Linked DNA regions of Caenorhabditis elegans. The protein of the gene in region 2 purifies or fractionates together with the protein of the main gene of each other region. This does not show direct contact. Each region holds a gene or a part of one and is shown on either strand. Other genes may lie near its edges. The genes, in order: C03B1.2 and cup-15.

Region 1 (16,893 bases), on a different chromosome or scaffold from region 2:
TTTGTTGTTGTTTTCCTCTCTTCCTTCCTTCAAGTGCCCATTATGCATTCGTATTCTACCCTCGTATTTTTATGTTTTTCAGGAGATGGAAGCAGCTCCAGTCAACCCGGCACTGAAACGTACTATGAGCCTTCACTGAGATTGTAAGTGAAATTTGGCAAAAAATACTCGGAAATATTACATATTATTGAAAACAGACATTTCAATACTGAAAAAAATATATAAAGCGTGGGAAGCTGACATGGGAAATTCGCACCGAATAGTTAAAAAAAAACAAATATTTTTTTAAAATTTATTTTGCAGATTGGACGACCATGAATGGAGAGGACCGCGTGATTTAGAGCCCGTGGCTGTTAGATATCCACCGGTATGAATATATAACACAAATTCAAATAGAAATTAAAAAGTTTTTCAGTCTCTTGCCGAGTTAGACTATGATATCGGAGAAGACCACCCAATAGATGACATGTTCAGAGATCGATACATTTTGGGAGTTCAAGATCCACCGGCTCAGCTGTACCAAGATTTGCGACTGGAAAGACTGAGACGAGAATACAAGCAGTCTCAAATCTAAAAAAAACCTTTTAACAAGATTAATATCGGGTTTTCAGTTATATTTCGTATCATTTTCTGCATCTCAAAATATTATAAAACCTCTACTGCCATTTCCCTTTTTTATCACATTGGTAAATATTTAACGTTCGAGTTTAAAACTTATAAAAAATAAAAGTACGTTTTTATATCTCATTTTCAAAGAAATACATTCTTTCTTCTTCTGTTTGCTTCTTCACACACCAACTTTTAAAAATCGTTGGGCAAATATCATTTGATCGGGTTAAATATAAAATTTTGACAAAAGAGATGACACAGTACAAGAGAGTATAGATATTACTTGCCATTTTGTTTTTACTCATATCCTTTTGCATTGGACTGAATTTGTTGGCAAACCAAGGTAATTCAACAACCAGTTTTCTATTGTTTTCGCTACACGTAGGCTGAATGCTAGTAGTTTTTCAATAGTTTCGAGGTTTTCTTTTTTAATTTCGAGTCAAAAATCGGTGAAAACAGAGGTTTTTTGCGGTGAAAACAGAGTAACAGAGTTTTCACCATTTTCCGAAAAATCTAATGCATTAACGCATGTTCGAACCCCTTCAATGTTCCAGTATGAATACATACTGTAAATAAAATTAAAACATAAAACTGGAAGTAAAAAGTTTTTGATGGACGACTTCCGAAAAAATTTACCAACTTTTTTGAAAAGTTTTAATTTCATTTTACATTTTAATCAATTTAGTTCTATAGGAATTATTTGCTATGATTATACCACTGACTACTCCAAGTTCTCCAGAAAACATACAGATTATATTCAATTTGAATATTAACTCAAAATCTAATTATTATCTATTTATTCGCAATAGCTAGGTTCCGAAATCTATGCACCTGCTCTGGAAAATGCATTCCTGCTCCAAAAATTGTTGTTCGGTTTGGTCCGCAATATGTCGTGCGGTGTACATGTACCAATAGTGCGCACAACGCTACGACACTTCGAGGGACGGCTGTGTACGCGCGCGCGCTCGACCACACACTCTACTCTCGTCTTGCCTTCAGTTGTGTATTGACATTCATTTCCTCTCACTCTTCTTTCTTTTCCCCAGTTCTGCTGCAACGTCGTCTTCTCTGCTCTGTGACACCACTACGTGTGAGATAGTGCATCGCGATGCAGGATTTGGTAGTTTTAGACGAATTCCTCAGTTTGCTCTCACGGTTTCTATCGCGAGTTGTTTGGTTTTCGCTAGGTCACATGTCTTGCTGTCGCATCCCAATCATTGCGAAAACAACTTAGAGGAATTGTTCATACTATTTTTTCGCCAGTTTATCCATTTAGAACATTTTACAGCATCATTGCGAATGTGCACTTTATTCTTCTCATTATCATCCGATTTTTCTTTTTTTTTCTGGCAGAAAACCAATCGAAATACCCAAAAACCGATCAATGTCGTCGACAGTGTTATCAGGTGACCCAATCGTGATAATGTTGCTCTCTTGTTTCTTTATCATAGTCAAAGTCTTGATTAACGCTGCCGAAAGATGTCTTGAGCGCTCATTTGCTCGTCAATTTTGGGTCTTTCCCATCATCATACCATGTCTCCAATTAGAAACCGCACAAGATCGATTGTTTTGCAAGAGATGAGGTGACTCATCCACCCCATAAACATTCTCTGCATTTATTCTCAGCAGTTTATGTTTTGTTTTGTTATGACTCTGATTTTTGTTATGATCAATCTATGACCATTGAATTGTAGAAGCATAAACACTCCATATTCCTCATTGTTCCCACCTTTTTAATCACATTCAACTCGCGTAGCAATTTACTGTTTGCTTGTGCCTACACAAACACAAATCTATTGCTTGTCCGCTCTGCTCTCGTAGCACAACAAAGTTTTCATTTTCAGATCGTCGGACTCATTCTACACAATTGAACTATGTTGAAATCGTTTGTCATCTTGTTTGGTAAGTGAAATACTTCCTACGCAGAAATACAATAGCAATCAATCAATTTTCAGCCTTCCTGGCCTCCGCATCCGCCACCGCTTCGCATTACTATGTAACCAACAACAACACCGGACTCACGTGCATCATCCTCGACGGAGACTTCCAGTTCAATTTGGTCTTCAACGAGAAGAACACCACCGAGAAGTTCACGGTCACATTCAACGAGACAGTCAGTGTCGAAGGAGATTGCAACGGAGTCCGCAACAATCAATCGGTTCAGACGTTGAATGTGAGTTTTTGAATAACAACTTTAGGGCAATTTATAACTTGAAAAAATTTCCAGATTAAGTTCAACCCTGAAGGACAATCTGCCCGTTACGCCAAAGAGTGGGAGCTCGATATCGTGTTCGGATCATCTAGCAACGTCGCCTTTGAGATCATTGACTACACCCTCACCACTCAGAGAACGGATCTTGTCCCATACTTTGGAAAGTTTGTCAGAGACGCCAATGCTGCCGGAGATGTTACAGCAACTCAGACCAACGCTTACAAGGTAATACCATTTCTGCTATAGCATTTGGGGTCTTGTTACCACTCACTATTTCTTGCCTAACTCAAAAATTTTCAGTGCTCCACCGCCAAGCTTGGACTCGTCGGAGGATCTACCATTGACATCAAGACATCCAACGTGATTGCATTTGCACAGATGAACGGCACCGTTTTCCCAACTGACCAAGTCTACGAGGTGTGCTATTTGGATGCTCGCACCAACGAAGTTGTCCCAATCGTCGTCGGAGCCTGCCTCGCGGCTCTCGTCGTGGTTGTGCTCGTCGGATACCTTATCGGACGTGCTCGTGCAAAGAGACAAGGATATGCCAGCGTCTAAATCTTTGCTATTGTTGTGAAACTGTTCTTATCATCATTCAATCAAAATATTATCAATAGCCTTGTTCATGCTCAGAATCTGATGATTCTTTGTTTCCATTTCCTCTGTTGCAATGTTGTGCAATCATCCAACATTTCCTCTTTTACTTATCTCAGTTCTATTTCATTTTTCTGATATTCTCTTCCATTTTTCAAACGAGTAGTACCTCACGTGGTAGTAGAACACTGTTTCTAAGCCCGTACGATGACTTTACGTTTAATATCCTTCATCCCTTGTTTCAAATAAAGTCCCTCTCCAACCAAAATTGCGAAATTTCAGTCTTTACTTCTAAAATCAATATGTGCATTGTTATGCAAATATGAGGATACATGAATAATAAGATTTTTAAAAGGGTCTTTAGGGATTTCTGAAGTTTCAAGGAGTTCCAGCATGGGAACGGATGGATTATTTGAAGGCAAAGATCGGAGCTAGCTAAAAGTATAACAGAATAAAGTGAATTCTAATTAATGAGTTACTTACCGTGACGAAATAAAATATAAACATTACAAAATTTACCGTGACTTGTTTTTCACAGCTTTTGCATTAAAACGGTGATTTTCTAAACTCGAAAATGTAGTCCAATCTCGTCAAATGCTAAACTTGCCGAAATTGCAATTGCCAATTAGCAAATGCTGCGCCCCATGATTGAAGCACATATTTTCGAAATCTTAAAACCCTCTCTGGGATACCTATTTTAAAACATGGAAATTAACTGAAAAACTGTAGTTCTTTAATCAATAATCTTTAATCAATTTAATCATAACATGTTTTTTTCTAAGCACAGACGTGCCGGAATGTTGCCAAAACGGTATTAACAGTGAACATTGAAATGATTCATTTTTCATGTTTTTTTAAAAAAAATTTTTATTAAAATGAAAAATGACCACTGCTGAAATTTAAAAATTAATATTAATGACGAAACAGAATGACCGTGGCAGGTAAGTAAAAATACATGTTAAAATTGAACAAATCAAAACCAGAATAACTGTATAGAGACAAAACACACATGAAAAAGGTAGGATAAGTGATAATATATAATTAGATTAATTTATAGAGAAGTAATTTTGAGTGAAATTGGGGGACAATATAAATGAGTTTTTAAACCACAAGTGTGTAATTGAGTTTTTTCAACGACCGAAATTTAGATAGACATCACGACCTCGGGCTCCAACACAGCATGACTCGTCGTACAAGACTCTGAACCAACGCTCCACATCTTCATGCACCCATCCATTACGCTTGGCAAGAATCAACGCCAGCTGATAGTTACGTGGCAGATGAATTGGTGACACCATTCTCCAAAACCGAACGCCTCTCTGGAACTCCACCATGTTTGTAAGCTCAGCCTTCGCTTGACAGTAATTTCTCATGAGCTCGATTTGTTGCTCCATCAATGTGCTCGCGTCACTGCCAAGATTGTCAAACAACTGGTCAAAAACTGTATATTGATCTTCATCGTATTTTTCCTTGCCATCGACTTGCTCCAAGTAACGATGCGAGTAAAAATCTCGATACCAGATTTCGATTTTTTCGCAGGTCCACAGATTCATGCAAACCATTTGGATGGGAATCTTGCTATCGTTGGAAAGATTCAATGGATCCGCATTTCGGAAGAAGTTTGCTCCATCACGGAAGTATCCAGATCCACTTTTATTGTACACCTGCAAAAAATTAATAATTTATGAGCTCTCGCTTAATAACTGAAATCTGGAATACTCACAGACAAACAGTACTGATGCATTTTTATCATTCCTCCAATCAAATTGAAGTTTTGGTCCACATAATTAATCATTCTCCAGTATTCACAAACTTCTTTGTCATCCGAATGAGTTCCGGCAGGATCGAATAGCATCGATGATTGACGTTTTTCTTCTGATATGTCGCTGATCTTCATTTCCATCCGCTTCATCTTCAATTTATATGATGCAACGACTTGTTTGTATTGCTCAATTTCACGCGTCCAGTTCATTTTGGTGTTGGGTTTTGCACATTACAAGCTCAGCTTCGTACTGGTCCTTGCAAATGTCTAATTTTTTCTGGTTTTCCAAATCGCAGGCTTCGTGGTCTCTTCTCTCTTCATCAGTTCTCAAACGAAGTTGTTCAGGAGCGATAGCTGCAAGTTATTTGAGTTGAATTATTGTGAGTTACTTTTTTTCAGATTGGACTGGTAGCGCCTGTCTTTTTTCGGCCAATGTTCGTTCAATACGGACTCTTTACGGCACCACTTCTACTACATTGGGAACAATTATCATTTGGGCTCAAAGTAGGAGTAATGGAATGGGGTATTTCAAACGTATATATATAGATGCAAAATGTGCTGAAACGAACAAAAAATTGAAAATTATTATTCATTTGTTCAAAATATATTTTGGTTGTTCATCTCACGTATAATAGTTGATTTGAATACACTGATAAGTAACCGAAAATCACTGAAATTGATACAAAAAAAGATAATCAAATAAAACTTAATTTCAAAAACTTGCGAAACGGAATAGTTGGTAAAATATGAAATTTTAGAAAAAATTATCTTAATTTTTCAGTTATTTTAAACCGGCATAATATATTTTTGAAGAATTTTTGGGATGCCTCAGAATTCAGTTTATTTGAGCCTATTTTGCGTCTCTACGTTCAAAATTGTCCGAACCATTACTACTCCTTTAAAAAGTCGTGTTTTGAGCGCATTAGCTTCAAGAACTTATACTTAAGTCTACAATAATGTTAGTAACGGCAATGAAAAAGAATCCCACTCCACAAAAACATAAGTTTCATATATTCTTGGATGCGTGATACTTACTACTCAATGCAACTCTCACATGAATTTAAAAAAAATCTACATGGAAGCATACTTACTGGTTTTATTTCAACTATTACATATTTTACTACTACCAATAATTACTTACATCTCCTGACAGTTTTGACAATTTTTCGATGAAGAGACGAGAAAAGATCGTTTCCTTTCTCCTTTTCAGTATTAAAGCATTCATTTGGAGCAAGGCTGCGACGTCTGGATGACTTCACGGTTCTCATACTTTTACGAGGAAGGCTGTTGCTAGCATTCGCGGCCGGAAGCATTCTAGAATACGAATTGAAATAACAATGGTTAGAATTTTGAGCTCAGAAAAGTCACAATGGAGCGAGAGCAACTGTTGCAAATGATACGGTACAAAGCTGCTCTAGACATAATAGGCGGAGTTTGTCTATAGTATATCTGTTACCTTAGAGAGGTCACGTGGGCGTGGCTCAACACTGTTGAACTCTGTTTATTGCGTTATACTTGATTCTTTTACTGTGAGCGGAACCTGGCTATATACTTTAAAGTGGATACGAATGCAGAAATCATTAAAATACATCTTTATAAATATGAAGTATACGATTTCCAGGACACTAAAAATATGAAATACCATGAACAAATCCCCAATTACACTATTAATGTGAACGGAATAAAAATGAAATCAAAATGAAAAGAGCAAAAAATACTGGTTTTCAAATACAATAAACAAAATGTCATCTAAGCAACAAAAAATAATAATGGCTAAAAATAATATGAAAAGCCAGAAAACAATTATTCATAATGACGACGGAGAATTCCTTCTACATAGCACATTGGAAATTCACATTCCTCGCTGAGCATCAAGTACGTTTTATGAAGTGGAGAGAGTCGATCAAAGTCGAGAAATTTGATAAAAACTGCTTTTGCTAGATATATTGGGTTGGAAGTTTGCTTGTATACCTGAAATGTTTTCTGCGGTACCGATTCAATTCAACAAACTGAATATGTTCAAGTTAAACTCCAAATCTATGAAAAATCGGATACCATTTTACTAGATTTCAGAAGAGGTTTGCTAAATTTGGAAAATAAGAATCAAATTTTTTTTACATATTAAAAATATTAGAATTTAATTGTTTTCAAGTAACCATTTTATGTATTTCACAGCGAAGAGATTCGTCTGAGTGCTTTGGAATTCTCGAAACTTCGTGGTTTTTCAGTTTAATACATTTTGACAAGAATAAGTGAAAACGGGGAAAAAATTAATGTTCCGATCTTGACCCAAAACTCTTTTGATTATTCTGCATATATTTGTTTTTTTAGTGTTTATTTTTTATTTTTACTCAACAAAAATTTTTCTAAGAAGATTTAAAGTTATTGAGCTTTGTTAAAAGTTAGGTTTCTATTAAAATGGTTTTTCTAACCTCTTGATAAACTTCGATTCTTCCATTTACAGCTTGTTGCATCAGGTCTAGACAATCTGAAATTTGAATTGTTATGAGGTCATATATAACTGGATATTTTTCTAGAATTAAAAATAGTAATTTTTGTAAAAATATTTCAGAAATTCTAAAAGTACCTTGCTCCGTATAGTAATCATCATCCCAATTGTCAAAAAATGACTGAAAATCTTCTATCTGTCGCAATTCCTTCTCCGAGTATTCCGGAGCTGTAGAAGCGGTAAATAAATGATCCATCGTGTTTGTCTTCTTTTCCGGCTGGAAAATTGCATCTGACAATGCAATACGACTGTCTCGGCGGAGTTGGCTGAAATTTGTTCATCTTAATTATTTCATTTATCCCATGTTAAAAAAAAAATTAAATTCCCGTTGTTCAAGTTGAACTAATTATAAAGATTTCCGTAAAGGTAAAAAACTCTTCAATTGTTTTCATTAGTATAATCCATTTGCTCTAATTGACACATATCCTATCCTTAATCGCAAGTTGTTGCACATCATCCATACGTGTGAGGTCAGCAAAATTCCTATCCGTTACATGTTTCGTAAAATACACACAAATACAGGAGACTTAGACATTATTGCGCAACAATTGTCTGGATATAGGTGTTCAGTTTGCGGGTGCATCCTATGCGTTAGATTGCTAGCGGATCAAATTACTAATTGACTTTTTGAGCAGAGTAGACACTGTCTAGCATGAGTTGTATCAATATCAAGAGATCAACTTCTAAAGATAAGGGATTCTCAAATTTTATTTCTCAATTGTACCAATTTTTCAGAATACGTTTTTTTGTGGGCTTGGGTATATTGTTTTTTAATGTTATACTTGCAGTCGTGAAATTTGATTTTCAAATTTGTAGAAAAATCAAGAAAATAATTGCAACATTCGCTTGTGTCAAAAACCAATTTCAACAAATTTTCGTGTGAGAAATACATTACCAGAAGGCATTTTTTCACACGATTAGCATTTTGGACTACTTTATTAAATTTTTGCGTGTAATTTTGAATTAAATTGTATTATATTACTACTTAAAAAACAAAAAATTTGACCACTGAGCGGATCGAACGCCCAACCTTTCGATCTGGAGTCGAACGCGCTACCATTGCGCCAAGCAGTCATGTTATTCTCTCTTGTCGACAGCAGTGATATGGACGACCGCTACGAGTGAACCGAGTAACAGCATAGCGAGAGACCCAGGCAAAAAAATTTGTCAACGTTTCTTCTTTTTTTTCCTGCTAGACTTATGTTAGCTAATGCGAGGCAAACGAGCGATGATGTATTTTTTAAAAATAAAAGTGATGTGTAGAAAAGCATAATTCAAGGCGGTGATTTACCTGTGAAAAATATTCTACTCTGAAAAAAAGTTATGTTCTAGACTATTCTTGTGGTGCTAACATAATCAAATTCCATCATAAATTTTTTCAAAAAAAAAATTGAATGTTTTTTGTTGTTAAAACAGTGATAGCTCAGTTTTCAATTTTTTGTTGGAAGTCAACGATCAATAAAAAAAAAGTTGCCTTCCAGTTGTATGTTCGAATTATGTTTGAAATATTCATATTCCAACATTTCATGGGGCTGAGAGAATACTTTAAACGAAAAGTAGCGCAAACACAGTTTTCACCACTATTTGACTTGAAATTTTAAAAATCCAAAATTTGTTTAAAATGTTTATTATGATATTTGGTCATTTTCGCATCATGGATAAAATTTTTATAATTTCTCCACTGACCGTACCCTCCTTTAATGTGACCAATTTAAAGTTCTTCAAACCAAACATTGCACTAAAAAATGAATAAAAGAAACCAATGAGAACCCTCGCGCCAGTAAAAAAAGTTGCAATCCATTGAGACGGAAAGTTGCAGAGGTCTGGAGAGTAAGTATGTGCTTTGTGCTTGAAAGTACACTATTATTAGATACGTTTCATCTAATGTTGATGTACTATGCTTCAGCACCAGGCACTTGTGATACATAAACATTAGTTGAACAAAATTCACGATCTCTAGCATGGAAAATGCTGCGTGAATGTTGTAATTAATTATATATCACTGTGGAATATTTTTGGAATATTGACTTCCGTCTTCCATAGATGAATAAAAGTTAAACTCACAAACATCGTTTCATATTGTACATTCGTTCCGGGATTTTTGCTCTTTTCACTCGACTGGGTGTGAATTTGACAGAATATCCACGTGATGTCTGGCAGCTGCTCGCCGGAGCTTCTGGAAAAAAGTAGATTACTACCGGAAATAGCAGTTTTTCATAAAGCGTCTAAAAAGAACTCTAAAAAAGAAAGAAAAGTCTTACCGATTACCCAACGGAAAGTTCTCTCTTGTTTTGGCGGGTTTGGAACTTTGAAAACAGCTTTTCCGGATTTTATATATGTATGTTTTTCTTCCCAGATGCGTGCTTGTACATTCTGGAGCTTCAATTTTTTCTCGTATTTTTGAAATAATTGCTCCATATTTGGTTCTGAAATAATTTATTTTTAAAATAAGAAAAAAAGCAAAAAAGTGGACAGCTGCAGACAAAAAAGGTGAGCACAGGACACATAATAATAGTTGATGACGAAGTAAAAAATATATATAAAAAAAGAGAGAAACTGTGTACTCTGTGTTCACTAGCTGCTCTTTTTTGCCAAAAGAGGAAATGTTTATTAGGGCGGCAAAAAGAACGACGACGCCTCTAAAGGTTTGAAATGGGTAAGCCATGCGGAGAGCAAATCACGGTGTATAGGGTGGAGCCACGGCTTCTCTTTCTCGTTATGTTCTTTGAGTGGGCGATACGTCGCAAACGAGAGAACATGGAAATTGATGTTCTTGGATGAGCTTTCTAATTGAAATTATATGTAAAAAATCGAAATGCAATGAAAAATGTAAAAATTTGTGAAAATATGTTTAAGCTTAGATTTGCTCATTTTTAATTGAAGGAAGACTTAAAACTATCACGACAAATTCCAAAACAGTAAAAATGATGACGGAACTCTGTTTTTGTCCATTAAAAACAACAATTCTTCTACATTGAAAAAAAAGGTGCAAAGAAAAGCAAATCAAAAATCTTTCAAGACAAAAAATTCCAGTACAGAGTTTACTTGGGCTGATTTCTGAATTAAACAAATGTATGTCATTGGAAGATAAAATTTTCAGATTGGTCCCTATAATTAATTTATCCACAGAAGAGTACATTGAACTAGAAAAAATTGGTCTGAAAAATTTGCAAGACATTTCATTCAATATAAAATGAGTGGTTAAAAATGTGACCGAATATTAGAAAAACGCCCTCGAAAATATTAAGATTTTTCAAAATTTTCAGTCGAAGTTTTGGTAAATTGTGAAGTTTGGCAATTCTTAAGAAATTTAGAGCATTGTTGCATTTTTAAACCCATAGAATATTCGAAAACCAACTATTTTAACTCATTTTGACTGTAGTTTTAAAGAATTAAAAAATTTGTTTCAAAATTTTGCTGTAACGTTTGGGCACCTTTAACGTAGCTTTTATAATGTTTTATATAGGATTAATTGAACACCAATTAAACCATAAGCTTTTGCACTCAAAATTTTAAAAAAATACATAAAATGTATTTTGAAGCATTTTCAGAATTACATAAGGAAATCAGGAATCCAGTTCAGACGTTTCAAAAATTCGTTTTTTTACAACTTAAAATAGAACATTCTAGAAACCACACAACAAGCCTCTTGAACTCTTGAATCTGTCATAAACATTTATGAATTCAGAGTAAAAAAGAAACAAGTTTCAAAAATTGGCGGCGTGATCTTTGAACATTTCCCTAAATAAAGCAACATTGGCAGAAATTCAGATGCGTCTAAAGTGGTGTACTATGATCAATATTAAGTCGTCTATATTCGATTAAAACACTACACATCTGAATGATCTTTAATCTATTTGAAAGAAACTTAATGAAATGCACAGCAAAACGCTAAAAATGTATGTAGAGTGTAGTGTAAAAAATGAGAGGAGCACAGCTGAAAATAAAGAGTGTGTTTCCTACTTTACTCTTCATTTTCACCTCCGACTTTTCCTGGTTCACTCAAATATTCACAACTTCAAAACGGAAACTTGAAAACTCATCTTTTTAAATTAAATAGAATGTAGCCAAACAATGGAACTGTTGCAAAGTAGAAAATGAAACAAATAGACCCAAAAATGCTCAAAATAATTTTATTACTTTTTTATTGGGAACAAAAAGATTGATTCGATCCACACTTTTCTCTACACAAGCGTAATCGTTAGTCGTGAGAGCACCTGCAATGTGGTCAAGCTGGAAATTGCATGCTGAAACTAAAATCTGAATGAGGGTGTCAAATCAACAATTCTGGCATTTGACAACTTACGTTGGAAATACAGAAATAAATTTATAGTAAATCAGAAATATATCAGGAAGTTTAAAGAAAGGCATCACAAATTAGGACGACAGATATTTATGATGAAACGTAATCCTCAAAAAAAAGTTATGGCAATTCAAAGTTTTCACAAAAAGTTCCGTTTTCCGCTAACACCTCAAAATTTGTCAGTTTTATACTGTCAAATTTCGCTGAAATAAATTTTTATACATTTTCATTCAAAAGATTTCATTTCCAAATTCGTTACTTTTCTCAGCCTAAAAGAGCAATGAACCATATTTCGCTATTTTAACGATAATCCCCAAATTTTTAATGCTCTTTGATTTCAAAAGTGCACAAACTATCTTGAAACCGCTAATGAACAACAAATAACAAAAAACAAAAAGTAGTTTTAAATTAATAAAAATTGATTACCAGCCGTTGTTACAGAAACAAGTTTACAAAATTTCAGATATTTGACCCTGTAGTATTTTGAAATTTTTCCTGCCAAAAGCATTTTTGATAAGTTTTTCAGATTTCTCATTCTGGAATGGTCATGTGGGTCCCATTATGTTTATAATAAGAATGCAAACCGGTCATATTTGAAACTTAATTATTTTTTACCCTTTTGTTATTAAACCTACTACAGTAAAAAGTTCGGTGCTTGTGTATTATGCCCCGCCATTTTAGAAATAAATCAAATTTCCATCAATTTATCCGTTTCAATTAAACGTGATACCCGCTAAGCTTAAAAATGATGTTTTCCTAAGCCTAAAAATTCAAAAAAAATGTACACTTTTTTATTTTATAAGTTAAAAAATTAATTCTTAAAATGGCGGGGGCATATTACACAAGTACCAAAATTTCCAAAATTTCCAAAATTTCTAACGGGGCAACATATCTGAGTTTGTATTAAAAATTAAATTGTGAAGATGTTTGCTCTTGTTTTCTCACCTGCCTAGAGTTCAAATATTCGAAACGTGTTCGTTTATATTTTCATTTCAAAGCATATATCTGTGACAATCTATTCAAGGAAGCATTTTTCTGGAGAACTCTGTTGTAATTGCATACCCGATGTTCAAAATCTTAAACACAAAGCCAGAAACTGACGGAGCATTTATTTTGATTAGTAAAAATAATTATCAGAACACGTTCCAAGAAAATTTTGATCGCTAAAATCTATACCGGAAAGTTGCATAATGTTATTTGCTTAAAAATAAAATTAAAATGGGAAACACTTAACAAAAATCAAAGTTAATACGGACAGTAGAGATGATAGTTAGGAGATCTACAATTGAAAATTTTGAAACAGTATTGGTTAGCCGCTCATTTTCTGACGGCAAGGTTCTCGTTGTTTTTCTTCTTTTGTTGAACATTGTTTCCACTCGGTTTGTAATGTATGATGTAAACTTGAAGATTAGGTGATACACCGCAGACTGAAAAATGTTGAATTACGCTCAACGTAACATTATAAACTGAAAACTGTTGCCTATTAGTTTTGTATTCCTAATCATTTTTCAGGAAAAAACACTGAGTGAAGCACTGATTAGGAAAATAAAAGATTTATAAGTAACAATCTTCTACGTCTATTTTCGTAATACTTTCTATAAACAATAAGGCAATTGTGAATGTTCTAAAATGTGTTTTATTCATAAATACCGTCAATATAATGTTAATATTTTCTCATCTAAACAAAACACAATTTCAAACAGTAAAATAGTAATTAAAATCGTCTATGTACTTATTGATTTAGTTGTTCGAGGAGCTACCTGACAACTTGTTTTGATATTGCTTTTTAGAATTGCCGGTAGTGGAGAGATAACGGTGTAGTTCTGGACGACAGCTTACAAACACATATTCTTTTAATATATTGGCAGTGTCAACTGTTCTGTCTCAAAAACCTACAGCATGCCCAGTGATAATGTACTTCCCCAGAAGCACATGATTCTTTTCCATTCTCATCTTGCGGGTAAGTTATTGCTCTAATGGCGACGCGTGTCATATTGAAATAACATTCCAGAACTCTGAATTCACCCATATGAGCACTGATTCTCTGAGCATCGATGGTCGCGTTTGGATACTTTCGCTGAATTCGTCCCAATATATGAGACAGCGTCAGGTTTAGAGGAATGATAGGTGGCATTTCTGGAAACTGGTAATCATTATCATAATAAATGTTAAGAATTCCATGTAAAATAATTCTGAGATATGTCAAAACATAGTTACAAAATAATAAAAAATGGAACAGGCTTTGTTAAATGTGTTAAACATGATTTATTACAGTCGATTAGCACCAATTAAAAAAAACAACTCGTAAAATGCATTCAAACTGATATCATGTACGGATATGAATGTTAGAAGTAGTATAGAAAAAAGTGCAAGGCAAATTGAATTCAGATGGTAATATACAACAACGTGATATTTCAGGATACAAATAAAATCAACACGCAAGACTATCAATTTTGAGGGAATATGAAGCGCGAAGCTCCTTCTCCAAGAAATATCCGTCAATCCAATCTCGATTGGCTGCGGAGATAAGAAGCTGATGATCCAGATCCAAGTGCTCGAATTTCAGCTTGCGGTAAAAGTCGGCACGGGCCAAGTAGTATGTGTTCTTGCTCTCTTGGTACTCCTACAATATATAGAATACATTTAAACTATTAACACATGCTTATTCTCAAACCTGGAGCAACTCCTCAAAGCGGTCCTTTATGTACATTTCGCAATCGAGCTTTGTTTCTGGAACAATTTTTTTTGTTTTCAAAATTTTGCCAATTTTTTTTTGTTTCCAAAATTTTGTCAATTATTATTTGTCATTTTTTGTATTTACCCGACATCAAATGAGGCATATCCTCGATGGAATCTTTCATGCTGGTCAAAATCTGGTAGTGAACAACGGCATCCTCTGGTTGGAGGTCTGGGTCAGGATGTGGCACAAAGTAGTTTTTTGGTACGACAAATCCTGGCTCAACGGTGCCTTTGATATCAATATACTGGCTGTAGGTAATGTCTTTCCTGAAACAAACTTGACAAAATTATTCTTATAAATTATTCTTATATTAGGCGGTAACTGTTCTTTAACACTTACTTTCGATGGGAACTTTTATTTTTCAACGTTTGAATAGCGATTGGCTTCGGGCTATAATTCACCCAGGACACAATTTTTTTCTCGTCGTCTCCGGTCCCTGGAACAAAAAATTCTAATTTTGAAGAAAACAATGCATTCTTGGTTGTAGATATTACGGCATCTTTTTGGCAACCGGAAATCAGTTTCCCAATGTTTTGCTGATTGTCGAACGTATAGTTTTGTTTAACTTTTATTTTGGAGTGTTTTTGAGCAAACGTTTTTTCAATTACAAAACGGACCATATTCAAAAAATCTAAACTATTCAAGGCAAATAACAAAGATTTTCCCCGTTTCAAAACTCACAGAAAGTCCAGTGGTACGTGATACTTCTTCCTTCGAACACCACTTCTGATTCATCTTCAAGTTTCGGGATGGGAAGAGTAAGAGCCCGGAGAACAACGTTGGTCAATTTGAAGCGATACTCAAAAGCTTTGAACTCTTCCATATGCACATCAATGTCTTCTTTTAAATCAGTAGCGTCTGGATACTTTTCGAGCACTGTTTTCATCAGGGTCTCACTGTCCGGGAGACTCATGATTTGAAATAAAATGCTAACTTGTAACAATGAACCTCAATCAAAACGATGATAGAACTGAGAGAAAATTTGGAAAAAATGATGAAAGCTGCTTTGATGAGTGAAAATGAAGCATAGATGTGAAGAGGCTATGGTTGTAAAGGGGCAATGGTTGTGGCGCATATACGTAATACGACCTTATGTCTGTACCGACTGTGAGCACAATTTGTAAAGAGATTTAGAGGTTTATTGATGTCTGTCTTTACTGACACGACATAAAAATTACAAATATACCCTAGCCAGGTTCTGTTTTATATTTAAAATCCGGAAGGTTGCCTATACTAATATCTTGAAAGTGAAAGACAGGGTGACCAGCGCCATCTGATTTTACGAATCAAAAATATTTTTGCGAAGCATAAGAACGACCTTGAGAGAATGTTTGAATTTGGAACGGAATTTTTTGGAGGTTTGAAAAATGGAAGTAACAAAGCGTGAGATAGAAATACGCTAAGCAGCATATCCATAGATTTTGAGCTGCAGGTATGTAGCATTTGTTAATGAGTTTTAGTAGTCGCATTGATTATTTCTGATATTCGGCTTGATGTAAACTAAATTTACCATAAACATGAAAAATTAGAAGAAGAAACCACGTTTTAAATATTCAACCATTAACCTTAAATTGAGAAAAGTGTGTAACAAATGTGTGCTTGCTGAAAGGAAGGGAGAGACAAACGCCCTCATCACACTGAGCATGTAGATTGCGAGTATCATTGAAGGGGGGCCATGATGGGCGCGATCACGAGGCGCGACACAGTCCTCGGTTATCTGCCGTTGGGAGAAAGCACACGAGAGGCTGAGAGAGAAAAGAAACAAACGGGGTTGGCAATGTGCCAATTGGGTCCGCATGAATTTCGTTGGCGGAGACTGAAGGATTACATAACAGTACAAGTTGGTTTTCGATTGCGTTGGAGAAAATAGGTATAAGTTTAAAGTTTAAAGCTTCAGTTTAACCTGGCTTAGCACACCAAAATTTATATCACATCTCTATTAAATATAATAAACATTCTAAAAACTCGTCATCGTTGTGCCAAATCAATAGAAAATAACTTTACAACTGATCACTAGATTTTAAACTACACTACTATTTGATGAGAACATCTAGAACACTAACTTGACTTAACTAAAATCTCTGAACACCGGGGAACTGCAGTCAACTCGAGAAACACCGTCTGTTATCATAAATTCTTAAATTCAATCATCCCATCAAATGTG
Region 2 (16,651 bases):
GTTTTTTTTTTGAATGGACACGATTTTGAGAATACCTACTTTTAAAATATTTTAACAATTTGAAAGTTAGTTATTCTTAACACTGTCGTGAACTCGAAGACTCCAAAAGTTACGGAAACAGTACTAGGTATTCTGAGTAGTAGGTATTAAGAATTTGAACTAGCTAATAAAAAGTTGAATTTAATTCCAACTGAAAATTTATAGTATTCTCAGAAGCCTAGTTGCCCAGATCAGTATAATTTCCATGCTCGAAACTAACCAAGTTGGCAAATGAACTCATATCTATCTTGTTGGAAAGTATGTCCAAGTGGAATCTTTTCCTCTGTGCTTGACAGACATCCAAGTGGCTCCAACTGTCCACGTCTACACTCATAAAAGTATTTTCCACGTGTCACTTGGTCTCCTTCCTGCCACCATTGAGCTGGCCGTCCGTTCCCGCTTGTCCAACATCTGCAAAAGGAGTTTTTTTTTTGAAAACCGGTTCTTATCAATTGGTTTCAGTTTCGTTGAGAACCATAGATACTAGTAGCTAGTTGTCTTGTTCAATGAGATGAACTTGACAAGATGATAAGGAATACAAGGGGAACGGTGAGACATTTAGGTTGTGGATTTTGAAATTTTTGATTTTTTGTTGTTATGTATAGTATGTATACAATGTATACGTTAGAAAAAATGATTCCTCATATCTAATCTCAGAAGTTTGGCTCTGAAATTGAACCACCATGATACTAGAGGTTTAATGTTTTATACGTGCCTCCAGAAAAATTTTTATAATTAATGCCAAATAAAAAATAGGCATAGGCAGGCACGTAGGCAAAAAAAGGCATATTTAGAAGCCATGGAAGCCATATGACTTTCAAAAACAAATTTTTTGAGAATAAAAAAATTTGCTACGAAAATCGTAAGGTTTGAGACTAATAAGGATTAATTTTTCGAAAATTTTGGATACACTGAACCTTTAAAAAATAAAACAAACCTAGCTCTAGCTGCAGCTCCTTTTTCGACATTTGAATAGGCCGAAACCTCGAAAATTGAAAGAATCGAGAGGATAAGTAGAACCAAGTTGTTCTGCATTTTCATCAAAATTTCTTTTGTCTCTAATTCCCCCGCTTTCGGTGATTTTTATAGTAGCTCCTAGGCTCCTCCCACTTCCTCCCCCACATCTTCTTTCTCTTTTTCACTTTTTTCATCTTTTCTCTCCCCTTTTCCGTCCGAAAATGGACAATTGTTCTTCAAGTGGGCGGAGCTCTAGGAACACCTTTTCGCTCTTGAATGTTTGTTTTAAGATGAAGAAAAAGCGGAAAAGAATTGGGATATACATCATAGTTACGCCGGTTTTGTTATTCAAATATCTCATAAATTACAAGTTTTCTGGAGGAAAGAACACCATAAATGACCATTTCAGTGAAAGTGCGTGTAGGAGGGGAAACTACCGGAAATTGAGCTAAAAATATACAGTGTATTGGTCTATGAGTTTTCAAGCTGTCAGATGGTGCAAAATAGATTTATAGATTTTCCAAATAGTTCAAAACAATTCGGTAAACATTCTAAGCTGAGGGAGCCCAAAAATTATGGATGATGCCTTTCAAAGTTATCAATTCGTACTAGAGCTACTCACTTATTCAAAACATCACTCTATAAAACTGGATGGGCAAATGAAAACTTATAGTTAGGACCTGCCTGCCACCTCTGAATTACGGTATGATACAGCTTTTCTACTGTGAAGAATTAAATTTAAGCGCACTTCAAATTGAACGTACTTTTGAGAAAACGGAAATTTCCGAGATTCCATCTATTCCAAAAAGAAATTAGTTGCCAAAATTGAGCAACTGGGAGTAACGGCATATCATTTTCTATCACAATATCACATTCGACTCGTTTGAGCTCTGGAAAATATGATAATCTAACTTTTTGGATATGACGTCACAATCAGTCCTGTAAGAAATTTCACGTTTTCCAGTGGAAGGATCACTCCGAACACGCGCCTCGTATCTCAATCTGAATGTGGCTTACTGCTGTAGTATGGGATTTCCAAAATAATCCATCTTTGAAAATGTGTGTGTTTTTTTAATTTGTATATATTCTCTGCCTTCTTCATCAAAAACTCACCTCGATTTTCACATATGAGTTCTCAATTATTCATCCAAAAATTCCTAGACACTTATTTCATCCAAACGCATATTTGAAACCGTTTCTCCTCCGGTCGAAATGCTAATTGCCGCCCACCTACATATACCGTGACAACATTTTGTTGTGTAGGTGTCAGTAGTTCACTGACGAGATGAAATTCAATTCAGAAAAAAACGTTCTCTGAGACACACTGACGTCTTCTTATTTGCAGGAAATGATTGCTGACACTTTAAAAAATAAATAGGACAACATTAGAAAATAAACAATCAGGTTGATTTATTTACAATAAATAAAACAGTGTAATCAACTTGTCATTTATCAATGGACAGGAGAGTCTGATGAAAAGGTTTCCGGAGAGATCGGAAGTGAGATGGGGAAATTGGAAAAAGGAAAGAGTTGAAATCTCATTGACTACTCGACTTCATTTTTGTTCATGAGAAATCCGTTAAAATTATAGAGAAAGAAGTGAGACAATATGTTGACGTACAAAAATGGTTATATTCATTTGCAATATCTTCTAAAACTCGCAAAATTGCGTATCTTCAAACTGACGTATCTCGAAAACTATAGTTCTAGAAAACAAATGTTCAACAAACAAAACTATTAGAAATATTTTTTCTTCCCTTTGCATCAATTTTCATTACAAAGTAGCAAGGATTTATTGAGTTACACTGATTCAAAGATAGTTTCCTAAAATCTACCAAAATTTTTGAGAACTGTTCTGTTGTACCAGTCTTAACTCAACATCCATTGAGTTTCAGAATTAAATTTTTGTTGGATAGTAAAAAAAAAATATTTTTCCACATTTTATCAGTTAGACTTTTTTGATATTTTTATGTTCAGCCAAGTTACAGACCGTTTTTCGAAAAAATCCAATTTCGCTCATAAAACTCTTCATATCCAACGTATCGACTTGAAATTTTGAACAATGATCACTTTTTTGAGGTTTCTACAATGTCCTAAAAAATCTTTCAAAAATGTTGGCTCATCTCCAAAATCGTCCTCCGCTCTGAAAAAATGAAATTGAGCTTTTTTGGTCGAAAAAAATATTTTTCGAATGCTGAGAACACGTTAAACACGAATATCATGTTCATTTTGAGATCCGGATGTTCTGAAAACGTCTGACATAGATTTAAAAAAGCATCGATTTATTTTCATTTTCAACGTGAAAGTTTTGTGCAGCTTTTAGATTTCAAAAGAATCTCAAAACTCTAAATTTTGAGATTCTTTTGAAATCTAAAAGCTGCACAAAACTTTCACGTTGAAAATGAAAATAAATCGATGCTTTTTTAAATCTACGTCAGACGTTTTCAGAACATCCGGATCTCAAAATAAACATGATATTCGTGTTTAACGTGTTCTCAGCATTCTAAAAATATTTTTTTCGACCAAAAAAGCTCAATTTCATTTTTTCGTCCATTTTTCGGAAGGCAAAGGTCCACTTTCTTTTTTCAGAGCGGAGGACGATTTTGGAGATGAGCCAACATTTTTGAAAGATTTTTTAGGACATTGTAGAAACCTCAAAAAAGTGATCATTGTTCAAAATTTCAAGTCGATATTTTTTCGAAAAACGGTCTGTAACTTGGCTGAACATAAAAATATCAAAAAAATTCTAACTGATAAAATGTGGAAAAATATCTTGCAATTATTATTCATTAACATTTTACTTCTGAAACTCAATCGATGTTGAGTTATGACTGGTACAACAGAAGAGTTCTCAAAAATTCCTGTGATTTTTGGTAAAATGGCTTTTACTCTGTGTAACTCAACAAATAGTTTGAATATTGAAAACTGTAAAGTAATGCAAAAAATATATAAAATATTTTTAAACATTTTATCAGTTGAGTATTTGTTTCCTAGACGTTTATTTTTCAAGATACACAAGTTTGAAGATACGAAATTTGGCGAGTTTATGAAGTTATGTGATCCCCCAGAGAGTCTTGGCTTGCCTTTTGGTGACAGATTGTTTCCAAAATTGATAATTGAATGTAAGAGTTCGAATAACTTTATGAAATTGCACATGACGTAATATTATAAAACATTATGGACCAAGAAAACAAAATTGTACGATATTTATGAACATGAGGAGTTTGATTGTACGAGAAATTGTGATTAAAACCTTTATTCATAAATACAATACTTTATAGAGAAATAATAATTCCGTTTCCACGTCCTTCCAATGTTTCCATAACAGTAGTATGAAAATTTGATCTACATACATACATATCAAGTTCAATTTTAATTTTCAATTTGGGGTAAAAATACACAAATCCCATAGTACTTTAAAAAATTATGAGTCGAATCGCTCAACTGATAAACCGAATAAATCGAACTATCTCGGGTCTTGGCACGAGCGGAACTTTTCTGCAACCGTACCCGTGTTTTGCGCCAAAACTACAGTACCTTTTTAAATAAATAAATATTTTTTTGAATCAAAATCTATGAAAAATCTACGAAAATAAAGTTTGGAACTACAGTATTCTTTAAAGGGCATTCGTTTTGAAATTTCACAAAATATGTCGTGTCGAGACCGGATACCGTATTTTCGGCGCAAAAATGACAAAATTTGAAGTCTGTACATATAATATACGAAAGTTTTTTTCTAATTTTTAAGAAATTAATAGATCTATGATAGTAGTTTTATGATAGTGAAGAAAACATATTGAAAGCAGAAAATTGAAAAGTTCTTGCAATTGACATGGGAAATTTCAAAAGAAAAAAAGGTTTTTCAAACTGAAAATCAAAAAATTTTGTCAATATTTACAACCTTTGTATTTTGTTCTCAGCATCCGGGTAGTTTCAATGTTTTCTAACTTCCCGTAATTAATTTTCCGTCTTAATTTTCCGTCCTCCTGTTCTCATCTTACTTGTCAAGCCAACCTGTCAGTATCATATTATCGAACTAATTATGTTTTTGTCTCGACCCTGGGAGAGGAAGACACACACAAAGGATCATACTTGTTTCAGATTGGGTCGGTAGAGTAAAGAACACGAAAAGGTTAGGAAGAGTTGAATTGATAGAAATGAATGTTCATTGTGCAATGTTTTTCGGGGACTTTTATATTTTAATCAAACGAAATTTTTACAGTTATCTACCAATTCCGTTTATTGTGCAAAAAGAGGAGGCTCGTGGTATAGACATCGGAAAACGGGGATAGATAATTCGGGTATTTCGAAAAGAAGCGACAATCGATCAACCAGAGCTAAATATTACATCGAATCTAGGCAAAACAATGGAATTTTCTTATTTAAAATGCTGATGGCTCAGCGGCTGGCTTCGATGTGAATCCAGTAAGCAGCGATTTGATCTCTCCGATGGCCTTAGCTGGGTTCAAGTGCTGAAATTAATTCGTTTAAGTCGAGATATAAAACAGAGAACACTCTAACTTTTGGGCATGTCTTTGTGCAATTCATGATGGTGTGGCACTTGAAAGCTGAGAAAGAGTCGTGCATACGGTGAAGGCGTTCGGTGGCGTAGTCATCACGAGAATCGATGACCCATCTGTAGGCTTGCATGAGAACAGCTGGACCGAGGTACTTATCAGCATTCCACCAGTAGGATGGGCATGACGTGGAGCAGCAAGCACAGAGAATACACTCGTAGAGACCATCCTAAATATATAAATTACTTTATAATGTTGTGATAATCATGAATAAATTATTGATTTTAGACTTTTATTTCGTTTGAAAAAATGAATGTTTTTCATTTTAAAACTTTTTTGAGTTAAAAATTATGTTATGCTTTTTCAAATACTTCTGCACCAGAAAATATACTGAAACTTACAAGACGATCACGTTCAGCCACACTTTGGTGCATCTGCTTTTCTCCAAGAGTCAATGGGGTCTTCTTTTGAATCCATGGTTGAATAGAGGCATATTGAGCGTAGAAGAGGTTCATATCTGGGACAAGGTCCTAAAATAAAAGGTTTATTCGTTTTTTTTAGATTCTAAAACAATACCTTCACAACGAACATATGTGGAAGTGGGTAGATTTTGGTGCTCTTTGAGGTATCCGAATCGATTTTGCAGATGCAAGCCAAAGTGTTTTGACCTCCGATGTTCATGGCACAGGATCCACAGATTCCTTCACGACAACTTCTTCTGAAAGTCAAAGTTGGATCGACCTCATTCTTGATCTTGATGAGAGCGTCGAGAATCATAGTTCCGCATTGGTCAAGATCAACATCGAATTTCTACAATAACTATTAAATTTTAAAAAAAGAAAAAAAACTTTGAAAATCAACCTGCACAGTTGGCTTGGCTCCTGGTGCTTCTGGGTTGAAACGATAGATCTCGAACGTCTTGATACGGTTTCCGGTCTTCTTGGTCTTGGCGGCTACATCATCAGTTGATGGAAAAGAGGCTTCAGCCGCCGCTGCAGTAGCTGGCGCTCCTGAAACAGTTCCAATAAAATAGTGTTAAAAATGGTGAATTTAAGGGATAAATATTATTCTTGCAACGTTGAGCTCAAACAAAATTAAAAAAACGTTTTTCAAAACATTATTTTTGTTTATTATAAAGTCTTGCTATAAATTTATAAATTCCCTTTTCTCAAATTTTTTGAATTTTAAATTTTGATTCAAGAAATTCCAAAACTGATATTTTTAAATTAACAGAACTTTGAATGATGGTTAATATTTACGGAACAGTATTTGATTTTTAAAAAAAAATCTGCGTTTTTCATCTAATAACACGACCGAGCTTTACAGCTTTCAGTGCCTACGTGTAAAATGGAAAATTTTAGTTTTTGAAGACATAATATAATTTTCTGACATATCCAATTTCATGTAATGTTAGAAAAATTATTCAAAGATAATTAAACAAAATAAAGCTGAACATAAAAAATTGTCGTCTTATTAAAAAATAGTAACGTTGAAAAAGTGCTGCCTACGTGCAAAACACGAAACCTTGTGAAATCTCGGGTAAAGCCTAATATTTCTCGTTAAAAAATGCTTTCCTAAATAATTTATATTTAATTTTTCTAGTATTCCACACGAAGTACCATATTTGATGGAAAATTACCAAAATTAAAAAACGTACCCGAAGCAGCACGAATGGCGTTGGCGGCGAGCTCCGCCGAGTGCAGAAGACGAGCCGAACGGGCCAACATCTGAGATTTATTCAATAAATCAAAGTTTAATAGAAATTAAAATGTAAATACAAAGAAATTTGTTGAAAAACATGAGACAATAATGGACGTGACTATTTATTTTTTGTAACGAGACTCCGAAATAACGCAGTGCATGTTGTTTATAGTTTGAGTGTGGATTTACGGGCAAACATTTATTTTGTTTTTTATTTATTTGTTTGTTTATTTTAGTTTTAAAACTATATTAAAGCTAGAAAATGCTTTCTTTTTAATAAAAATTATTTTGCAGATGGTAAATTCACTTTCAAGGATACTTTTCTGCAGCTTACTTATATTTTCCGTGATTTCTCTTCGAGAAGAGCGGCTCGAAACAGCGCCGATCACTGATGATCCTTGGGATTTGGATGGACCCTGTCAAAAATATGTGGAAGTAAGATTCTTCGAAGTATTTAATGCAACTAAACATCTTTATTTCAGAAACTAGCTGTTGTACAATCGGAAATGGTAGCATGCGCCACAAACTGGTCAATTCCACCTGTAGTTTGCACAAAATGCTTTCAAAACTACATTAATTTCAAACAATTTGAATATGAAACAAAAAACCTGGTGAGTATAATTTGAAAACAATATTTTTTAAAACCGTCTTCACATAAAATATGAATTTTATTACAGAATAATGTCTACTCCCTGGATAATCGAACTTGCTCTCAAGTTATTTATGACAATTATCTGCTCTCGTACAGTACGGATATATCAAAAGCTTTAACTTCAGAAATTTGGGAAAAATCCAGATGTGACTGTGAGTATATCGGCAAAAAAAATCATAAATTCCCATTTTTCAGCCTGCATAACAATTAAATGGAATTTTCCGCAAAACAAATCGGAAGTGTCATTCAGTGAGAGGACAATGCAATTTCAGAACAGAATGTATGAATGGAGAAATTGTGTTGTTAATTACACATCTGGAGGTGTACTGGATGATAATCTTACCAATGGAAGTAAAATCTGTAATCTCTGCAAGACCACCTTTGACGAACTCTTTGGATATTACTGGAAAATCTACACAACTCCAGATGTAGATTTTTGTGTCGACGTGGAGACTACGATGAACGATACAATTCATTTATGGGATGATGTGTGGAAATGTGCTGAAAAACAAGACAGAAATCGTGATTTATTTGGAATTATGATCACTTTTGGAACATTATTGCTGCTCACAGCTCTATTTTATGCTGCCAGCTACATTCAGGGTGGCGGTGAAACGAGGCGTCTTATTCAATGTAAGATTTTCTGTATTCCTTGAAATATATTATATTATTTTCGTTCAGATGCTCGTCTATCAGATCCACATGGCCAAAGATCACGTCTTCTTTCATCGGGAATGTCGGATGCAGATCTTGTTAGTCGTGTTTCTCCAGGATCTTCTGTGTTATACAATGTACCAATCCATCAGACACGATAACAATTGCTCAAATTGATCCAATTCTTATATTTGTTTGAAATTTAATTTCGAAACCTAGTCCTTGCCGAATACGTGCCTGTGTTCTCTTTCCTGTGATGCTCTCTTGCTAACTTTGTTCTTTTTGTATATTTGTGATAAAATTGCAATTCAAATTCAATTACTTCGAATTCTATTTAAATTATTTTGATGTTAATTATCATCACGAATATCTATTTTTCTCAAACTATTTCCCTTGCCTGAACTCTATTTTTCTATTTTCTAACTCTATTTTTCTTCTTTCCAAAATTCTAACTTTCCGATTTCCTGAAGATGCTCCATCTATACACTTCTCTCCCGCAAATTAGACTTAATCTATCTCAAAATTCAGACACTTTCTCACATGTTTCTTTCGAACTTTTTTATGTTGGTTTTCTTCCACTCGCCACAAAAACGAGAAGTCGCCGAAATGACCGTCCTAACGAGCTTGTTAACCGCATGTTGCTCCTGCTCTCCGTGCTCTAACCCAACAATCCGGGTGAAAAAGTGAAAAACGACGACGAGTTCTTCTCCTCCGTCCGGCCAAGAAGGAGGATACACTGTTTGTTCTAACACACACAGAGGGATGCGCGTATATCGTCCGGAGGAGAAGCGGCGGCGCGCGCGCAGCCTTCTTATCGGTCGGGTTCATTCCATGTAAATAGTTGTTGTTCGATGGATGGACACCAGTCAACCGCTTTCACTTTTTTTCTTCCAAATTAGCAATAATTTTTCAACAAAAAAAACATTGCAATTGAAAATTAATAGTCCTCCTGAGCCATTTATAACATCCGAATACGACATCTAAGTAATTTCCTGATAATTTATTCTTGGGAATATTCCGAGACATCCATATCCGGTACCAGGTGTACCAGACAGGTGTTCAAGCTGCTGCAGTCATTCATTCACACGTCGGTGCTCCCAACACTCCCCTCAATACCTTCCTCTCTCCTTTTTTTAGTTCTCGTCAATTTGGCTTCCATGTTTGTCAAATCGGCAACTGCAGCAGCACCTCCTTTTGGTGCCACTCGAATGCAGGAAATGTGTGTGCATTTTTTGTCGATATTTCTCTTATTGAGCCTAGCCGACGAATGTCACCTTGTCCGCTTTTCTAATACATTCGAGATTTCAAAAGCTAAACAATGACAACAAATTGAGCACTACGTTGGTCCCCTGCCATTCCCAAGCTGCTACTTCCTTTTGCTTATGCTTTTGAACATCTTTCTCTTTTCTTACTCTTCTCATCCAATTCTCTTCGTCAACCAATTCACACGCTTCTTGTCAATGTGTACATGTTCGTTTCCCTCCTCCTTCAAAACCAGCTGTTTTCCGTCCAAATCTCATCACTCTACTCCCAATTGATCCTTCGTACTTTTTATGTGGACCAGCTGATCTGATGATACTGCTGATAAAGTACATGTCTAGAGGGCTATTTTAAAAATAAAGTAGATATATTTTCTGAACATTTTGTTTTACTAGAATTGACTTGTAAGTTCTTCTATTGTTCAAAATTAGCGAAACATTTCTTTGACTCCATATCTTGTCTTCAGTCTTTGTTACCGCGATCAAATTCCTTTTCTTTGTATATACTTGTCCTATGATAGTGAACATCTCAGCGCCGCACCGCGAATACCTCGGAATAATCAATCCAAATTAAGGACATTCTTGATAATATTGTGGCGGAAGAGGCATAGGCGATCGTCAATTCATAATAGTCTAGATTTTCGGGGGAGAACTGTCCAACGAGGCGGTAATTTTTGAAAAAGGGAGTGTCCAATTTATACACCTGCTCGCGAATGATTAAAAAGAGCCAGCTGTTTTAACAGAATAATATACAGTAATAAGGATTTATTGAAATCTTTACCTTTTGGATTTCCGCCTGTCACTTCTTATAGACTGTAAAATTAACTTCCGTTGTTCATCCCTTTTCCGGTATAGATTCACACCTAGATACGAGACTTTCGGAGTCTCACAAGAAAGATCAATATCTTTGGCAATGGTTGAGTACACGAAAAGAACGCTTTGATCAGACAGTTATACACAAAGTTAGGTGATCTGATCAGTGTGCACTTGTACTCACAACTTCTCGAGACTCTATTATAGATGAACGTAGATGTTTGCTCATTCAATTTATGTGTGTTTTTTCACTTCAAAGAGTGCACACATAATTTATGTATTACACACACGTTCTTTGTATTCTATCTAGCTGCCCTGGGAAGTGTATCTCTAGTTTATGACATTCTGATGCTCGCCTGTGGCTTTGAGTACTCACGGTGACTGGGCCGTAAAGTTGATACGATTTCAAAACAAAACATTTTAGGTTTTTCTAACTTATTACATGCTTTTTCAATGATTGTTCTTTTGTACCTCATTTTTGAAGTGTTCTTGCGTGGGCAGTAAATACCATCTTGACCTGGTTCTTAAAAAACCGCAAATCGTTGACAAGTGCTAATAGTTGTCTCTTTCTCTCTATTTACAACCATTTTTTGTGTGATGCTGCTACCGAGATTTTTCAAGAGTTCCAAGAGCTTATTAGTAAGCGCTAACCATCACCACGACCACCAAGCAGCACAACAGGTTAAGGATGATGATGAATAAGAGAACGGTGAGAGGAGGATCGGGAGAAGGATGATGGGAAGAGAGGGCAACCAGCCAACTGCCGCTGTGTGTATAATGATGCGGGAAAAGAGAACAGAGCGAGAGAGTCGAAATATATTGAGCGGTGTTTAATAGACGCAGACACGCCGCGTGCAGGCGGAAAGTTTCAAGTACGTCCCTCCCGGTCTCTTTCTCTTGGATGATGGTGTATCTGCGTCTCGAATCACTAATTCTCTCTTTCTGTCTATATCGTTGAAAATAGAGAGAGAGAGAACGACCTATCCATCGACTTGTCGCCCCTAATCCCGGGGGCACTGTTCCATTTTTTCTCTGGAATTAGTTCAATGTGTCCGTTACTCGAAAATTGTTTTTTAATTTCTCATTTTCTGAACATTGAACCTAGATTTTTTAAACAATGAATTTTTAATTTAAATGCCATAGCCAATGTTTTATATTAACATTGATTGCAAAAAAAAAAGAAATGTTTCTTTCCAAAAATATAACATTTCTTTTGAAATATAAACATTGATTGGCAATTTTCAAAAATTTTAAGCGTTTTTTACAGAAATGCCTTGCCTTTTTCAATTATTTTTCCAAATTTGTTTAGTTAGTCTTCAATGACTCACCGCAAACTTTTTTTAGAAACTTTGGAAACTCTAAATATTTCATTTTATAAAATTTTTGAACATAGATATTTTACACCAATATTTTTAGAAAACAAATTGCACCGGAAATAGTGCCCAATTTCATAATATTTGTTCTCCGGTGTATCCACAATCCAAAACCACCTTTATCACATCACTTTATCTAATTCTCTAAGCCTTTTCTGATCTTCACTGCCTCACTATTTTCACCCACTTGCCGCACTTTTCAATGGATGAGTGGGAGTTGTATTGATTAGTATTATATTTATATATCCTTAAGGATATATTTTTAATGGCGGAGTCCATGGATAGTTTGCTTAAAATTATTGAAAATTGGTCCTAATGAACGAATATATATATTTAAAAATGGTTTTAAATTATTTATAAATTTGAAGTTTGAAATTTTTTTTTTCAGTTTTGCCAAAAAATTCAAATTGCACATTTTTGTTGCAAAATTAAAAAAAATTTAGAACCATTTATAAGTGTTTTATAATTATATACGGTATTCGATTTTTCGATTTTTGGTTTTTTATTTAACAAGAACGTTGCATTTTTTAGATTTTTTTTTTTAGAAAAACCCGTAAATTTTTTGATTTTTTGGTATTTCGGAAAACCGAAAAACCGGCAGATTTCGAAAATTCGGGTATTCACATTCCAAGATTTATACGCAAAAGCTATGAAACTTTAGTCAAAAGATTAATCGAATAGTTGTGGTCTCATATTTCAAAAGAAGGATGAACCGGGAAATGAGTGAACGTTAAAGTAGTGGTGGTGGGATATGAAGAGTAATTGACTTGGAGGTGGTCGAATACGCGGAATAAGTCTCCGGTTTCAGTCACACGCTAAACTGGTCATTTCTTGTGGGTGTCTGTGTGTGAATACGAGTCATTTTTCCCAAGCTTCATCGTTTGATCTATTTTTTCTCGTTTCCAAAACCATAATATTTTTACAAAATACTTTATATATTTTTTGGAATTTCTACCCATTATTGTATCAATGAAACGAACGTCATTTGTATCACTTTTCTCATCGTTCTTTGCTTTTCTGATTGAACCTATCTCAAACAACAACATTTTTTACTAAAAAAATTTCATATTTTGCAGAATGGGTCAAGATGACGAGGACGATGCGCATATGCTGCAAGCAAAGCAGCAAATCACTTTTAATGTTGTGAATAAGAGAAAGGTGAGCTTTTTTCAAAAGTTTGAAAACAAAATTCAACAAAAAAATAAATCTGTAATTTTTGCGAAAAAAAATTTGGTAAAAACCTCGTTTATCACAAATTAAAATAGTAAAATAAAACTAAAATTTTCTTCGTTTAAATTGAAGAAATTGTCTAAATTTATATTTAAATTTCAACATTATAAATTAAAAATCAGTTTGAAATTTCATTTTTGTTAAAAGTGATCTTCGAACTTTAAATATCAAATTTTTGGCCGACTTTCTTCGGTTTTTGCGCCAAAAGTACGGTACCCGGTCTCGACACGAAAGATTTCTGTTAAATGCGAAAAGTTATGCACCTTTAAAGGTTACTGTAACTTTCAAAAAGGAATTTTCATTTTTTTTTCCATAGTTTTCATAGTTGTCTTTTTTTGTTCAGTAAATTAATATATTTTCAAAAACGAAAAACGTTAAAAAAATCATGGAATTTCACAACAATAGTAGGTTGAAATTACAGTACTCTTTAAAGGCGCAAGCCTTTTTGCATTAAACATAAATGAATCGTTTCGAGACCGGGGACCCGTTTTTTGACGTGAAAATCTTTAAAAAATTTCATCTGCTTAATTTTCCAGTTTGAAGCTTGTTCAGTTTTTTTGTAGTTTTTTTTTTCGAATTAAAAATTTGAGAAATTTAAAATTATTCTAGAGAAAGTTTCTGAAAACACCTTGCTCTCTATGATTTTTTGTCTGAACCGTCGTTCTTCCTTCATTTTCCATGTTTCCTCCTCCACCCCCGTTCTCCATTTTTCCTGCCATTTTCCATACAAACACATTGACAATAAAAGTGAGTCAGCGGGCACAGGGACACGACGACGGCGACGACGACGACGTCTCTTTCGTCTCTTCTCCGGAAAAAAAACCACCAAAAGAGAACGTTTTTTGATCTTTTTTTGATAGTTTCCACAGGCTTCCGGTTGAACTTTTTTCTTATCAGTGTCAAGTTTTGACTCATTCTAATCGGACGATTATTCGTTTTATTTTTTTCCATTTGCTTTGAAACTTTTTCTCTTGATCATTCAAAAATTAATTTCTAAAAAAAATTACAAACCAGTAGGTATTTAGTGAACAAAAAAAAAACGACAATCACGACCGAAATCCAGTCGTTTATACTTGTTAATCAATTGTGCAAACAGGTGCAAACACAATTTGTGAGCTCTCTCGGCGTGTGCCAACTTTTACTCTTTTTTACGCCGAGGGTTCGAAGTTTAAACATTCAATAAATTTAATATTTTTTAAACAAAAAAAACCATTTATTTGTAATTTTTAAATTTTCAGGATCAATTGCGCCGTTGGCAGAGCAGCGAGATGAACGCAGAAGCAGCTCGGCGAACGAAACGTCCAAAAGTACAATTTCAAGACAGTGATATTTTTCTGTCGGCATGTATGTCTGGAGATGAAGAAGAAGTTGAAGAACTGTTGAACAAGGGTGCCAATATTAATACTTGTACAGTTGACGGGTTGACCGCATTGCATCAGGTGAGATTTGCATTTATTATTGACAATTTGGTACTTGTATCGTCCATATGTGAAGTTTCGTGAATTTTGTTTAAAAAAATACGATACCCGGTCTCGAGGTGAACCTAAAGGAGTACTGTAGTTTTTCTACAGTTTCTTCAAAATTGCACATGTTTTTCAATAAAAGTTAAACAAACGTTTGAAAACGTATGAAACATCGAGGAAAATCCTGCAACAACAGAGAGCAGGGCTGGAGCAACGAAATTACAAAAAAAAATGAAATTGATAAAAACAAAACGAATTTAATTTGGAATTTATTTTAGAAAACAACCTTAACTTTTTCTGGAAATAAAAGTTCAAAAATAAATTTTAAAAAAATTCTTTTTGAATCCTTAAAAAACACATTTTTCGTAAAAAAAAAGTTCTTTAAAAACAGCTACAGTACTCCTTTAAGGCGCACAATATTTTAAATTTGGTGCTTCGAGACCGTACTTTTGAAACAAATCGCAACGTTTTGCATATGGATAGAACATTGAAAAATTGAAATATTGCATAAACAAAACATTCGAAATTGAATATTTTCAGTCGGTAATTGATTCAAAACCCGAAATGGTTCGATTTCTTTGTGAAAAAGGAGCCGATGTGAATGCACAAGATAATGAAGGATGGACACCTCTTCACGCAGCTGCATGTTGTGGAAATGTGGCAATAGTCAGATATTTGTGTCAACATGGAGCCGATCTCTCAATAGTTAATAGTGATAAAGAGTTAGCACTTGATCTTGCAGTAGATGAACAATGTCGTGATTATCTTGACGATGATTACAAGCGACAAATGATTGATCTCGATGCTTGTAGAGATCAAGAACTTCAGACAATGTTGAAAGATGTGAATATGTGGATGAGTCAGGGAGAATATCGAGATATTCCTCACCACAGAACAGGTGGAACTGCAATGCATGTAGCTGCTGGGCGAGGATACACACAATTACTCGAATTACTTATCAAAGCGGGTGGAAATGTACGGGCACAGGATGTCGAAGGATGGACTCCGTTGCATGCGGCTGCACATTGGGCTGAACGAGATGCATGTAAAATATTATTGGAAAATGGAGCGGAATTATCGGATCTAACGTTTACGGTAGGGGTTTACAGTTTTTCTGTTGCGGTTTTCAAGACCTGGCGCCTGCTTGAAACCTACCAGCCACTCGCCTATTTTCTGTATTCTGGCGTGAATTTTCAAATTTCTTATCTTCGAATTTCAATTCGATGAAAATCAAATTTAAAAAATAAATGAGGAAGGCAGAGGTCGCCTTAATTAAGCCAGGCAGGCGTTTCGACGCCGACATGGAAGTCCTATCAAAGAAAAACGACAACAAAACTGAATTTAAAAACATTTGTCATACCAAAATATGTTTTTTCAAAGATAAAAAATATTATTTACTGAAAAAATGTACAAACTTTATTTTTATCAAAAGTATATAAATTCACACCAATTGCTTTAAATTTTTTTAAATTTTTATTTAAAAAAAAAACAATTTTCAGGGTGCTGACGTTCTTGGAGTAGCTGATAAAGAATGCATCGATTATCTTGTCGAGTTGGCTGACACTGTGAAAGTACAGAACAAGCGAAAATCACCGGGTAGTGGCTCCCAGCCACCAACTTCAATACTTCAGGAGAAGAATCATAGAATGCCGTCACACGAGGAACATGTTCTGACAAGTGAACGGAAACGAGATTTACAGCATAAGGATCAGCATAGGTGGGGGTTTAGAAATTAATAATTTGAAAATTTAATATTGGAAAGTTTTATTGGGAAAAATCTGAATCAGAATTTCCTCAAAAAAATATTTTAAAAACATTGCATGTTCACCCTCAATTATTCCACTATATCCTATCGCTTCTCTATTTTTTTGTCTATTTTTTTATATTTCTCCAGTGAAAACGAGTTTCTTCACTCGCATCCATCCACTGCATCAGTTGGCTCGACCACATCATCCAACACAAATACCACCACAACCACCATTGTTATCGGTGA

What was found.
Region 1: the proteins of cup-15 (region 2) and C03B1.2 fractionate together in Caenorhabditis elegans (co-fractionation; one large-scale study listed by BioGRID). This does not show direct contact.

The regions. Positions count from the first base shown.
Region 1 is NC_003284.9:6,363,245-6,380,137, reverse strand, and holds C03B1.2 (uncharacterized protein), read right to left. Parts: upstream 10,122-16,893; 5' UTR 10,105-10,121; coding exon 9,948-10,104; intron 9,863-9,947; coding exon 9,751-9,862; intron 8,763-9,750; exon of another isoform or gene 8,674-8,762; intron 7,953-8,673; coding exon 7,765-7,952; intron 7,666-7,764; coding exon 7,610-7,665; intron 7,149-7,609; coding exon 6,981-7,148; 3' UTR 6,755-6,980; downstream 1-6,754. Other genes in the region: igcm-2 (B-cell receptor CD22-like), read left to right, coding at 83-143, 304-367, 416-574; LAMP family protein lmp-1, read left to right, coding at 2,484-2,511, 2,565-2,782, 2,837-3,046, 3,122-3,379; C03B1.1 (uncharacterized protein), read right to left, coding at 4,546-5,079, 5,139-5,387; C03B1.17 (CHCH domain-containing protein), read right to left, coding at 5,371-5,531, 6,319-6,490; C03B1.3 (uncharacterized protein), read right to left, coding at 13,307-13,416, 13,886-14,123; C03B1.4 (uncharacterized protein), read right to left, coding at 14,421-14,612, 14,664-14,719, 14,811-14,995, 15,069-15,165, 15,411-15,642.
Region 2 is NC_003280.10:9,345,492-9,362,142, forward strand, and holds cup-15 (Coelomocyte uptake defective protein 15), read left to right. Parts: upstream 1-7,508; coding exon 7,509-7,649; intron 7,650-7,696; coding exon 7,697-7,825; intron 7,826-7,891; coding exon 7,892-8,018; intron 8,019-8,061; coding exon 8,062-8,499; intron 8,500-8,547; coding exon 8,548-8,681; 3' UTR 8,682-8,836; downstream 8,837-16,651. Other genes in the region: F42A8.1 (uncharacterized protein), read right to left, coding at 260-450, 977-1,074; sdhb-1 (Succinate dehydrogenase [ubiquinone] iron-sulfur subunit, mitochondrial), read right to left, coding at 5,379-5,468, 5,518-5,742, 5,915-6,043, 6,090-6,323, 6,375-6,523, 7,171-7,240; mel-11 (cGMP-dependent protein kinase interacting domain-containing protein), read left to right, coding at 13,043-13,123, 14,434-14,634, 15,199-15,753, 16,158-16,375, 16,553-16,651. UniProt on the Caenorhabditis elegans protein: Modulates the transport of substances from the endosomal to lysosomal compartments. Plays a role in lysosome formation and function in coelomocytes.